2 linked regions of the Neodiprion lecontei genome follow. The protein of the gene in region 1 interacts with the protein of each later gene in a biochemical or structural test. Links are inferred from orthologs where the notes say so. Each region holds a gene or a part of one and is shown in the gene's direction. Other genes may lie near its edges.

Region 1 (6,059 bases):
CAAGAGGAGAATGCTTCACAGTCTTCGCAGTTCCAACCGCTGGATCAGGAGGTATGGAAAAAACTATTCAGTGGCAAATGAAGTCCGGCTTGTTTTGAAATTAATTCTATTTTTTCATCAATTAAGGAAAATAAGCTTATATTTTCTTTTCTCTGTATAGCGACAAGCGTTCTTGAATCAAGCGTTGTCTTCTATGACTGTAAATGTGATAGAGGAACTTCAAAAGTCGATAAAAGTGTTGTCCAGTGCAAGCGAACTCCAGCTTGAGAATGAACCTTCCCAATACGATAATGCACTGGATGTGATCGCAAATTATGTCGACAACATGGACACTGCAAATGACTTTTACAAAATTGGAGGCTTCGCGATATTCGAACCCTGCCTTAATTCTAAGTACAGCAGTCACAGATGGAGGGCAGCTGACATTATCGCTGAGTTGACGCAAAATAATCCATACTGTCAAGAAAAGGTCTTGGAGTTTGGTTTGATGCCGACATTACTGCATATGGTAGACACAGACCCCTCAGAACAGACCAGAATTAAGGCCTTATATGCAGTTTCTTGTAAGTCCACATTTTTACATAATATGTCATCATTCTGTATTCATAAACTAATCAGAAACGATTCGAGAGAATTTATATCTACCATGATCACCGATACAGACAGATTTACTAATATTTGATTTTAAAAGTTGCCCTGCCTCATTCTTGCTGAAGAATAAATTGGAAGAATAAGTTCAGAGTATGTAATCAATTAACTGAGTTTATGTTGCTATCACGATGTTTCATCATTTAGGTCTGGTGAGGGAGAACCCAGTATCATTGACTCACCTGAATGTCAATGATGGCTATTCAGTTCTGCTAAGGGCATTGCAAAGTCCAATAGAAAAACTGCAGATAAAATCTGCCTTCCTGTTATCATCTTTATGTAGCAAAGATGGCAATCCCCATAATTTAAAGACAACTCTTGTTAATATGGGTTTGATCGAACAAGCGGCTGGTTTGCTGGCAATGCAAGGTCTTCATCCAGATACAAGGTACTAAATTCCGTTACTTCACTTACAAAATATTTCTGTCCGAACTGCTAACGGAATTAATATATATGGATTCTTCTTTTTGTAAATAACTCAAGGGACCAGCTATTGAGGGTACTAGCTGGATTGGCCAAAAATAACTACTTGCCAGCATTGAAGGAATGCAGAAGGCCGCAACTTTGCCTGAGGCAGACTCTAGAACGTCATCAACGTGAACTAAGGGCAGAAGAAAGTTTCGACGAAGCTGACATGTGTGCTCAGCTTTTAGATCAAATATTTTCAGATCATGAGACAAATCAGGAGAGATAGCCGATCTCTTGCGTGCAGCCAGATCGATGATCTGCCTAACAGAGTTGTAATTCTTGTTCAATTGTAACACAAAATATGTACAATAAACATAAATATTTATTTTTTTCCCTTATTCGAGTAACTTGACGTTTATAACTGTACGCTAATACAGATTACCACTATGTATATGAACAAATAATTTGTTGAATATGTGCAAGTACTTTATACAGATAAAATCCTGATATTGCCAACAGAGCGTTGTTGCAATCAATCATTCAATCGATAAGTCCGTCTGCCCTTAATACACCGTTGCACGTGCACATTCGCGTCTGGAGGCAATTAGTGACTAATGAATGTATCCGTTATGCGATAGGTTGATAATTTTTTGTGAACGACGATACCTATCGAATATTCCGTTATTCGTGATCCGAATAATGCAATTCAAGTAAAACTACGTAGGTATACGTGACCAAAGCGATCATTAAAAGTTTCATTAAATCTTACTCGAATCTGTATAAAAAATAAGGAAGGCAAGGAAAATAAGTTAATTAAGTTGCGAAAAAATTTTTCATCTGGTTATATGGGTTGAACTTTGTGCTGATACGCGGCATTGGTACGCCACGCGTCGCAAAGAAAGTTGTGATTCGGCCGCTGGAATTTAATTTTTGTAATACACTAAGCAGAAGCGCGCGAGGTCTTTAGGCTTGGGATTTATTTAATTGTTCGCGCGTGACGTAGCGGGAAGCAACTCGACAATGTCTGAGGATAAGAAAAAATCTGGAGAACCTGCAGATGCGGAATTAAACGACTTATTGGATAGTGAGTACTGACGCAAATTACATTTTCATTTACGGCGTAATCTCCGTTTGCAAAAATCAGCAACGACTTGGTGATGAAAAATTATTATGCACAAACATAACCTATAACCACTGAAACGAACAGCGTCTATAGCTGTTATTTTCATTATTTAGCGATAATTATGAAGTCAAGATTATTTATAACCTTCCAATGAAATTTCTGGCCACCAGATAATAGATCAAAATTTTATTTTATACAGTCTTCCTTTTTCAATAATTTTACTGTTATGTAATGTTAGAAATTGACCTAGAATTTTTGTCAATTGTTCCATAACACCTGCTTAGTCAATTGTTGTCTTGGTACAAAAAATAAAATGCATGCTTTATCCGTTTATTATTAGGAATTCGATATATGTAGGTCATCTTATCAATTTAATTCGGTTTAACCTTAGTTTTTGCAATTTTAGTACGCAGGTTTCATCAGATGTGAATTTTGAATTTGAAATCAATGTAATAGCAAACTTTTAAATTTTTCCAGGCGCTCTCGAGGATTTCAATCAGGTTCAAAGCGAAAAACCAAAAACCGATGCAACGGCAGTTGCATCGTCGGCACAATTGGAGCAGCCGGATGCCGCAGCTGGCGCTGAAGATCAGTGGACGCAAGATTTTATCAAACAAGCTGCAGACCAGTTCGAAAAAAACCTACAGAACCTGATACAAAATGGTGATAACTGAAGAAATAATTGTCGAGTTGTTATAACACAATTTATTGCATAGGTGATGATAACGATCTGGGAGCCTCTTTCCAAAAAATGGCACAAACTGTAGCCAGTGCTATCACAGGGGAAGGCGATCTTGGGAGCGAAAGTTCTCGCAGTGACTTTCAGTCAGCCATTTCACAAGCGCTTAAAGATTTGTCCAGTACGAGTCAGGATCTGCAGGTGATGTTCAACACTGAAGATAACCCTTGATTTTTGAGCACTTTTTTATATATTCAACTAAATCATATTGATAGAACACTAGGTTACATGTGTAGTATTTTATTTTCAGAATATTTTGCCACAAATTTTGATTTTTGATGTACACTTTTTGTAATAGAACCCGGTGCCAGGATTGGGAGAAGCAGATCTGGCTGCTATGTTCGGGAGAACATCTCTGGAGGAAGAGTCTGGCGAATTCCCATCTTTCATGCAAGGGATGATGCAGTCTTTATTGTCCAAGGAGGTTTTATATCCCACAATGAAAGAGTTAGTTGATAAATATCCAGTGTGGCTTGAAGAAAAAAAACCCACCCTACCAGCAGCTGATTTTGAAAGATACACGGAACAATTAAATCTCATGCAAAAGGTGTGCAATTTAATAATTGTCACCATAGGCAGGCAAACATTTTAACTGAAATTATAATGAGAGATAATATCAGAAACTGATGCGAGATTCATTTATGTGGTTCGCTTCCGTAGGTATGTGCAGAGCTGGAAAATGAGAAAGAAGACGACTCTGATGAAGTGAAAAAGGCTCGCTTTGAAAAGACATTGGCATTGATGAACCAAATGCAGAACTGCGGGCAACCACCAGAAGAGTTGGTCGGTGCTCCTGCACTTTTCAAGTGCGATGCTGAAGGAAATCCAGTTTTTCCACCTGGAGTTGACCCACCTGAAAACTGCTGCGTCATGTAAAAGTATAAAATTGTTACGTAGCCTTAGAAATGTCGCAATATGTTTGACAAAGAAAAAAAGATTGTCAAACTTCGTCAGTATCGATTTTCATAACATTGTTTTAATGAAATGGCCATTTTAAAAACTTTTATTCTCCAATAGTAAGATTTATTTGTTTTTTATAAACAAAGACCTAGATTGAAATGACAAAAATATTTCACTTCAGTAGTTGCCTTTACCATATTTTTTGATTTGCTGAGCTTCCATGTTTATTTCGCAACACTAGTGCCGACAGATATCTATAGCATATCTACAGTCATTTGCATTTTCAATGATAGATTACATAAAATTCTCTTTTCATCATTGAAATTAATATGATGTGGGGTAGTTGTTCGGTTAATTTCATGACTTTATTTCATTTGTGTGCACATCGGTTTGAGTATGGAGTACGTGATCGTTTTTCATGTAGCAACTGCCTCGCACAATTTTCTATGCGCCGTGCATAGGGTTTGTTTTCTTATTTTACGTGTATCTTACCTAAAATGCGGTGTAGGTACGTGTATACATGTATATACTTCGCAATGTTATGTACGAATTACAAACATAACGTTAGGGATGCGAAAATTCGACTTTGACAAGATTTAACACTTCTGGTCCAGTCACATCCCTACTGACAATACATGCATTATGCATATAGATGTAATATATAAGGAATAGGTCACCATATTATAATTTAAAAATAAAACCTAAACACGATCTGTGATCTTCACTAGCCACCTACGGGAAAATGGTAATTATAAGGTAATAATAAATATGTCCTTATACGCGTTACTACTTTTTTTTACAGATAGTAAATTTTTATTCTGTTATACTCGGTTCAGCAGATTTATTTCATCTAGGTACGTGTTAATATTTATTATACCCTTGCGCCACATGAGACATGGCTATGTTTGTTAGTCTGTTCATGGGACGGGTTTCAACATTTTTGTAAGTGCCATGAGTTAGATGTTTATACACATAAATTGTTATTTATTCATCGTTACAATGTTGTTATATTTAACATGTCCTCGAGATAAGTGAGAAGTCTTAAATTGTCTAATTGATCGCAGTGAACAGAGGTGGACAGCCAGAACCCTTAGGACTACTTCTGAGGTATGGCACATTTTCACTGTTACACGCGGTTGTCCTATTGATTGACATTCTTAGACGACTGGAGCTTCCAGGTCAATGTAAAGCTAGGTGATCGCATACAATATGCCAGCATAATTCACATGAATTTAGAATTAGAATCGTTAACTTTTATTAAATAGCAACATGATACATTTTGGTACAATATTCTTATAGAGATAAAACGTGACATCTAAAGAGATTACATAGAACTAAATCTTTATATCACGTTTCAGGAATCGATATTCTATATACACATAGTGGTTCAAACAGTGCTAATCTGCTCTGAAAAGTCAAGAGTTTGTGAATTGTACAGGAACCTTTTGCCCCATTTATGGGGCATCGGAAAGAGCCGCAACTCCTGGTAAAACTTTGCCTTCTAGAAGCTCCAAGCTGGCACCACCGCCAGTACTGACATGGCTAACTTTGTCTTCTGTTTGCCATTTTACTGCGCAAGTAGCTGTATCACCACCGCCGATTATCGTGATTGCACCACGCTGTGTGGCAGCAACAACACCATCCATCAGACTCTTTGTACCTTTGCTGAAGTTTTCAAACTCAAAAACTCCTGCCGGACCGTTCCACACGATTACCTTTGCTCGCTTCAGAGGTTCTGTAATTTGAAAGCCGTATCAATTTCGGATTCATCCCATAGCGAGAGTGTCAATCCCTTGTTGTTTGCTATTATTATTTACCAGCAAATATAGCCTGTGATTTAGGACCAATGTCGAGACCCAAAAGGCCGTCAGCAATGCCTGTTTCAACATCAGCAGTTCCAACAGTTGCGTTTTCAGCAAATTTATCACCCGTCAGGAAATCCACAGGTAAATGTACTTGTACGTTATTCTTTTTTGCTTTTTCCAGAAGGTCATTAACGATTTTTGCACCTTCTTCGTCAAAGAGAGAAGCACCAATCTGTAAAATCAGACCAATGAATACAATTGTTATTATTATTATCATCTGAGTCGCACTTCAATGTGATAAAAATCTACTGCTTTCTGATCACCGTACCTTCATGTTTTTCGTGACTTTCAGAAATGTGAATGCCATTCCACCACCGATGATCATTTCGTCAACCTTGTCCAGCAGGTTATTGATCAGTTGAATTTTATCCGCTAC
Region 2 (7,820 bases), about 5.1 Mb from region 1:
TCTGCCTTGGTACTAGTGGCATTTTGTGCATAAAAAATTCTGTGGCACCCTTTACGCGAAAAGTTCTCATGAACGTTTTGGTGCTCACTAATTTATTGCCAGGACTTTACTTCTCTCTGATTCATTTGCGAGGTTCGTTAGATGCCATGAAAATATTACGTCAGGAAATTGCAAGTGTACCAAATGATGACGTCAATATCTTATTCCTCACTCCCTGCCATGCAACTCCCTTTTATAGTCACTTGCATGCTAATGTAACAGCCAGGTTTCTGACTTGCGAACCAAGCTTAAGCAACCGAGATGACTACATTGATGAGGCATCAGAGTTCTTTGCAAATCCAAACCTCTGGTTAAGACAAACTTACAGTAACACTAAAGATACGGAGATGCCCACACATCTTGTATTATTTCATGAGCTTGCTCCAAGTATTCATCAATTTCTTGATAAATACAGACTAATCGCTGATTTATTTTATGCTCATATCACACCAACTAATTACAGTCAATACCTACTGATTTACAAAAGGAAGTGACTATCCTTGATTCAATTGCATCGATTGCTTCATTTTAAGTATCTCCATTGTCGACTGATAACTTCGTATCTAGTCTAAGTGATTAACAATTCCTAAACTGCCGATATACTAAGACTACTTAGTCATCATTATGCATTTTGTTTACATGTAAAATTCGCATAAGATTTTCATTAGCCTATAACTTGTTACATTAGGATTCCGCTTTGGGTTTGGTGACTCAAATGGCTCGGGAATAATTGTTATTACTGCGAAACTTCGAGAGTCATGCAAATTGTTATATGACTTAACATTAAGTTTTTTGTGTGTTACAGGTTTGTAAATATTATGAAACTGACATGTTATGACGTAAAATTATCTGTGCCTGCTCATTGGACTTAAAATGTTAGTAGGGCGTGATATGAATGCTATTACAAAAGTAGCAATCGTAATAAACCAGTGTTTAAAATGTCACCGTTTTTTATTCCTATTTGATATCCAAGTATCCAATCTTACAATCAGGTGGACAGTGAAAATGCTGTTAGCTATGCTCAATTAAAATTCGATGTCACTTGGGCCTGCCAGAATATTAGAAAGTTTCCAGTGACGGTTTTCCTATAAATGTCAATCAACCATTCAACATCCTATTTCTCTAAAGTATTTTTCAATTAATCACTAGTATACTCATTGCTTTCCCACTTCTTGATGTGTTATATTTCTTTTTTCGTAATTGACCGTTATACAAGCTACCATAGATATAACAGACTTTTCAATTACTCTGAGGCATTATAGTCATTCAAACTTGTGGCTTTTGATAAGCAATCGTGGTTATAACTGTATTATATTGCGAGTAGAATTCAAGGTCGTGGATTATTTCCTCCTATCAACAAAGTATTTAAATATAATTTGATATTTGAGCCCTAGTGATGAGTGGGAAGTTCGAACGGCGGGGAGGAACACACACAATTGACCATGAATGATAAGTTCGAACGAGTTTTTTTTTACTATCTTCTACAAAGTTGAAAAATATTTTTCTTTCAAAAACGTACCGTGATAGCTGTAATGACATAGTAATGACGTAACCAAGGTCCGAGTTTGTGGCTAACCTAGCCTATCGAGTTCAGTTTTATCCTTGTCTTATATGGGAGCTTGCGCAAGTGTGCGAGACACGTGTCTAATTTTTCCCTTGTAGTTATCTCGCTACACTCGGATGCGCCCGAACGTAGCCTTTGGTTGCATCTTTTTCGACAGTTAAATTATGTGCATGCATACATACGTAAAATCGAAGGTTCGCACCGTCATTCCATGAAGGCGGTGATCATTGAAAATTTACTTAATATTTATTTTGACGGTTAGGACATAGGTGGTCGCGCGGTTAGGTTGGCATACGTTGCGTCACTGGCGTAGTGACTTGCGTTGATGTAAATTGGAGGTAACGAACGAAGTAGAATTGTAAGAAAACAAAAACGAGTGATAAACACCGGGTAATGTATTCAAGAATTCAAATGCATTCCATCGAAAGCGAATGAAAACCAGATACCAATTAAAGTCCATAGTGAGGGAACCGAAAGGGAGTTAAGGCAAAAATGGCACCTGCACTTAGTAAATTTGTAACAAAAAGGTCAATCGCAGGAGCGATAAGTGTCAGCGCAATAATTTGGCTGCTGAACAAAAAAACGAAAAAACGGACATCGAAACTTAGGTAACTAATTAAAATTACTAGTCGAAACCGTCGACGTTGTCTCATTCATTTGTCTACATTCTGCAATGTCACTAACTTTCTTCTCCTAAATAATGCAATGTAATAATTTTCCTTTCACAGACATCAACAGACAAACAACGACATTCAGTATGTCATTAAAGAGGTAAGGATGACAAATTTCATCATAGTTACTCAGATAATCATTAAACGATAATTCAATTTCTGCAGGACAAACCCAAATCGCCCAAAGCTCACGTTAACGCAGAATTCTTCAGGCAGCTACGCCAGCTTATTGCTATTGGCGTTCCAGGAGTTTTTTCCACAGAATCGGGATACTTACTCCTGATAGCTGTGGCTCTCGTTGTCAGATCGTTTTGTGATTTATGGATGATTAATGCAGGGACGCTTATCGAATCGTATGTAAACTTTGGTTATCTAAAATTATACAATTTGTAGATATTGTATTATTCTATCTAGTATTTACTGCGTCCATGCTTTTTGTCCTTAAGCAAAAAATCATTTTCAGGTCTATAGTTAGTATGAATGGACCTCTATTTAGAAAACGACTTTTCTGGTTCTTCTCCGCATTGCCATTGGTAAGCGAGTGTATTTGTTCAATTGATTTCATTTAATGTTAAATTTAAAAAATATGCCATTATTGTCAAATGAGTTGTTGATGATGAGTCTAAAATTGGTGTTACAATAATACGCACTTGAAATATCGGGATCTATCAAATATAGTGAAAATAGAAACACTGCAATTTTATGCTCATTCGCATCGGATAATAAATATCAGCTCTCTGGAATGTTAATATTGTTTTTCACCTATAAAATTATAATTTCCTAAAATTTGATAAAATTTTCACCACACATTTATTGATTTAGGTTTCAATAGTGAACAATATACTGAAGTATGGTATTGGCGAAGTGAAACTTAGGTTACGCACTAACATTACACACCACCTTATGGATAAATACCTCAAGTAAGTATTAAGTGCTGGTTGCAATCAGAAAAGAAGTCATTTCGAAGATAACGATATGATGTATTAGGGTGGAAACAATTTATGTACAGATTTTTTCAGGCTTTAAATTGGCATATTATGTCTGTGGTATTAATATTTGTTTATGCAATTACAATCTAATTCATCTAATCATTTATTCATTAATTCACAGGGGTTTCACATACTATAAAATGTGCAACTTGGATAACCGCATTGCAAATCCAGACCAATTGCTCACAACAGATGTTGATAAATTCTGCGAAAGTTGCACAGATTTGTACAGTAATATTGCTAAACCTCTACTGGATATATCTATTTACGTATACAGACTCACGTCCACTCTCGGAGGACAGGTAAAGACAATATTTAAAATGAAATTTTATACTTTGATACATGAATAAAGTAGCTGCTCAAAAACTTTTTGCTGCAAATCCGTAAAGACCAGTCATCGCTCATATAACGTTCTAATTTTGCACATCACGCAAAATCATGATTGTTTGTTTCATTTTTTTTTCCCCCAACAGACACCCCTGCTTATGCTGGGTTACTTGTTGGGAGCAGGAACGTTTTTAACGCATCTTCGTAGACCAATCGGGTCATTGACTGTGACGGAACAGCGACTTGAAGGGGAATATCGTCACATTAACTCACGCCTGATAGTCAATTCAGAAGAGATTGCTTTTTATCAGGGAAATAATCGTGAGAAGCTAACCCTCCTCACCAGCTTCCAAAAATTGGTAAAACATTTTTTTGTATACCATGAATATGTTGCGAGATAACACAGAAATTAGACACGGTAACTAATAACTTTTAATGGACTCTTTAGATCACACATCTACGAAGATTCCTTGAGTTTAAAGTAACTTTGGGAGTAGTGGATAATTTTGTTGGGAAGTGTAAGTAAAATAGTAAACAAAATATCTATAATTGACCACAGCAAGATTTTGGGGAGAGATCAAGAACAAAGACCGCAACTGGGATAATTTAATTCTTATTTCCAGATGCGGCAACGATTGTCGGTTTCTATGCAGTCAGCATTCCCTTCCTCCAAAAAAATCATCCGATACTGAGTGGAACCCCTGATCATCGTTACAAAAGTTACTACACATATGGCCGAATGTTGATAAAGTTGGCGGAAGCTATCGGCAGGCTGGTACTTGCAGGAAGAGAGTTGACACGACTGGCCGGTTTCACAGCCAGAGTTACAGAAATAAGAACAGTCTTGAACGACCTGAACTCAGGGAAATATCAGCGAACTATGGTGGCAGACAATAAGTCCGAACCGGTTGGCGCACCAGGAGCAGGAAAAATAGTTGCTAAGGACAACATAATAAAATTCGAGCATGTGCCTTTAGTTACACCAAACGGTGATGTACTTGTAAAAGATTTATGTTTTGAGGTGAAATCTGGCATGAACGTTTTGGTCTGCGGTCCAAATGGTTGTGGAAAGAGTTCCCTATTCCGAATTCTCGGCGAGGTAAGTAATCGGCACCAATTCAATTTTCTGTTCATTGCCTGAGCAATAGCTGTATCATAATAATCAATAACTTAATCAACAATTAGCTTTGGCCAGTCTGGGGAGGAATTGTAACTAAGCCACCAAAGGGGAAATTGTTTTACATCCCGCAAAGACCGTACATGACGTTGGGTACTCTCAGAGACCAAGTAATTTACCCTCATACAAGAGCTGAAATGCTGCGACGAGGTAATTGTAATGACGCCGATCTGGAGGAGTTCTTAAATGTGGTGCAACTTGGTCATCTGCTGGAAAGAGACGGTCAAGGAAAGGGGAAAGGACAGGGTTGGGACACCGTTGCCGACTGGATTGACGTTTTGTCAGGCGGAGAAAAGCAGCGCATTGCGGTAAATTGTTTCCCCTTGTATACGGGCGCGTATACCAGTGAACTAAAACTTTTTGTTATTCGTGTAAATTGACGCGGAACCGATTTTTTTATGTTCAGATGGCAAGGTTGTTTTATCATGCACCACAGTTCGCCATTCTCGACGAATGTACGAGTGCAGTTAGCGTGGATGTCGAGGATTCCATGTATTCTTACTGCAGACGAGCTGGTATTACTTTATTCACCGTTTCTCACCGAAAGTCCCTTTGGAAACACCACGAGGTAGGACTCAAAATCTGGCTTGTTACTTTCGCAAACCTGATGTATAAATGTGGATAATAATGTCGTTTCTGTTTCTTTTTTTGTTCAGTATTACCTTCAAATGGATGGTAGAGGCTCGTTTGAGTTTAAACAAATTGAGCAAGATACAGAAGAATTTGGATCATGAATTTTATTGTGAATCGTAATTCTCTATAAGGTGGTATGCATTAAATATACATATAGATACAATTACAAGAATTATAGAACAAATATGATAAATTATCAAATCAAGCATCTAACGAATGATCCCAGAAATTAAAATTCGAACGTAATCGATTTTAGAGAGTAGGATTTGAGCTCATATTATACGCACACATCTCTGTAGGCATAGAAGATATTTTTACACAGGTCAACTATAAATACGTCGTCAATACTTGAAAACCGGGTTGTAAAAATATACGTACAATGATTTTTTAATAATTTCACTATGGGGAAATTTCGAAAATCTAAATCAAGTTTTACAGAAATATAATGGTTATCATTATTTAGAACATTTAGGAATATTATCGCAACTATTGTATTATCGGATAGTTTCATGATAATGTTTAGCAAACAAATTGTCTCACAATCAACAGTTCACAGGCTATGGGATTTTTGAATTAAGTTGATGCAAGTCAAAATTTTCACCACTCTATCTCCTCTTACAAATATACAGGGGATTTCTGATGAAAGGGTAACCTCTGAGCTCACACCGCTAGCGCTAACCACATGTACAAGTTTTTGTTCACAGCATTTATCTGCTATGCTCGGGTCACGTAAAAGTTGCTACTCGCGTGGCTTGGAGATTGCCTTTTGACCAGACATTCCCTGTATATGAAGAATAGAAATGGACGGGAACAATATTCTGAATGGGTATAGGAGAGAGTTTGGTAACATCGGGAATCTATAAATTATTGGGAATGAGTACATAGAGAACAAGGGGTGTATATCAGTTTAATACTGTGTGTGTCCTGTTAAATTACGTGAACAATACTTAAAGTAATCGAATTTGTGCCGAGATAAAGTAAAAAACAAATTTACGTTAGGATCAAATAAATGGTAAATATAACTGTATATATTATACTATATTCATACAGGTGAATCATGGATAGTTTAGGCTACCACGATGCTCAGCCACGGCTTGATTCCAAAACTAATGTGTTCAAGAAGGGATCGTTAGGCTACGTTTTATAGATAATAATTACTAGCGTATAACATCACAAGCATTTGAACTCTTTTAAAAAAATTTAACGCCATTTAATGGCGTTAGGGTAAGAACAAGAATTTGTCACTTGTGAATTTTTAAGCTTTAGACCCTTAAATCTAAGATTAGGAGGGGATGTAATAAATTGTACTATAGATAATTAGACCAAACGTTTTGACCGAGTGACAATGAAAATTAAATGAAACGCGTTGCATTATCGTTGAACGTAAATATTTTGTTCAATGAACATCTTCTGGAATAAGATGTAAGATTGTTGATAGAAATGAAAATTTTGCGTCTCAGCAATTAGTAATTAATTTGAACAATTCGAAACAAAAGTTTTTTTACTGCTTGTTTATTTGATCTCTCATTATTAAATACAATTCAAATATTAATATATTCGACATAGTGCAATTTTTAAGTAAAAAATCAGTTGCGAAATATCGTATTCGAAAAAATTACTACCGCCTCTAGAGACTGTACTTTACAATGCCATAGTTATTTTATATCCAGCTTAAATGCGAAAAGACCTCTACTCGTGGAAATAATAATTACACATTTATATTCTTCTTCCGAAAATTACCTCCTATTTTACTCTCGGTAGTAAAATCACAGAGAAGTCTAACGAAAATTATAAGGTTTCAGTTAACACTGAGTACGGTTGTATATTATGTATACATATTTACGACGGAGACGATTAATTACAATTATTGTTATATTGTTAATTGTTATGTGCAGAGCACATTGTATATTTATATAACGTAATAATTTTAACAAAAATGTCATCACAATAACCATAGTCTTAACGATTTTATTATTAGTATACATGTATATGGAATTGCTGGCCAACGGGTAAAAATATTGAAACAATTTTTTTATATTGAAATAAAGATCACTTTCCGAAGAAAGCATTGTACAGAAAAATGATTAAAAAATAACCGCAATTTTCAGTCAGTGAAAAGGTTTTTGTGAGGGATAAGTAAGATATTTGTGGCGCCCATTTTTGACCATTGATTCTTGGTGTTTTTACCAAATCAAGGAGAATTTCAAGAATAAAAAATTCGCCATTTTGGCCTCCCTAAGGAGATGTAAGCATTTTTAACGGTCATTGGAAACACATCAAAATTCAACGATTTTTTTTTACTCATGAGTTTGGCATCCGTACGAAAGGGGCACAGTCGAAACCACAGTCACATCAACACGTAATAAAATCGCAGAAGGTGACTGTCGCAGCCCAAAGGTTATAATTAATTCGACCTCCGT

What was found. The genes of interacting proteins can lie anywhere in the genome.
Region 2: the proteins of peroxisomal biogenesis factor 19 (region 1) and ATP-binding cassette sub-family D member 3 form a complex in vitro, tested with the Homo sapiens proteins (4 studies listed by BioGRID and IntAct, with this or other methods). The link is inferred for Neodiprion lecontei from reciprocal best matches to the Homo sapiens genes PEX19 and ABCD3.

What each region holds. Positions count from the first base shown.
Region 1 is NC_060263.1:34,408,431-34,414,489, forward strand, and holds peroxisomal biogenesis factor 19, read left to right. Parts: upstream 1-1,864; 5' UTR 1,865-2,076; coding exon 2,077-2,140; intron 2,141-2,656; coding exon 2,657-2,842; intron 2,843-2,895; coding exon 2,896-3,059; intron 3,060-3,216; coding exon 3,217-3,465; intron 3,466-3,578; coding exon 3,579-3,794; 3' UTR 3,795-5,272; downstream 5,273-6,059. Other genes in the region: hsp70-binding protein 1, read left to right, coding at 1-51, 161-563, 796-1,036, 1,132-1,342; phosphoglycerate kinase, read right to left, coding at 5,273-5,553, 5,636-5,855, 5,952-6,059. UniProt on the Homo sapiens protein: Necessary for early peroxisomal biogenesis. Acts both as a cytosolic chaperone and as an import receptor for peroxisomal membrane proteins (PMPs).
Region 2 is NC_060263.1:39,546,175-39,553,994, forward strand, and holds the start of ATP-binding cassette sub-family D member 3, read left to right. Parts: upstream 1-1,729; 5' UTR 1,730-2,095; coding exon 2,096-2,211; intron 2,212-2,331; coding exon 2,332-2,374; intron 2,375-2,439; coding exon 2,440-2,627; intron 2,628-2,737; coding exon 2,738-2,807; intron 2,808-3,096; coding exon 3,097-3,194; intron 3,195-3,384; coding exon 3,385-3,565; intron 3,566-3,736; coding exon 3,737-3,949; intron 3,950-4,038; coding exon 4,039-4,108; intron 4,109-4,213; coding exon 4,214-4,689; intron 4,690-4,775; coding exon 4,776-5,075; intron 5,076-5,173; coding exon 5,174-5,335; intron 5,336-5,423; coding exon 5,424-5,501; 3' UTR 5,502-5,531; exon of another isoform or gene 5,532-6,450; 3' UTR 6,451-7,820. Other genes in the region: GPI mannosyltransferase 3, read left to right, coding at 1-533. UniProt on the Homo sapiens protein: Broad substrate specificity ATP-dependent transporter of the ATP-binding cassette (ABC) family that catalyzes the transport of long-chain fatty acids (LCFA)-CoA, dicarboxylic acids-CoA, long-branched-chain fatty acids-CoA and bile acids from the cytosol to the peroxisome lumen for beta-oxydation.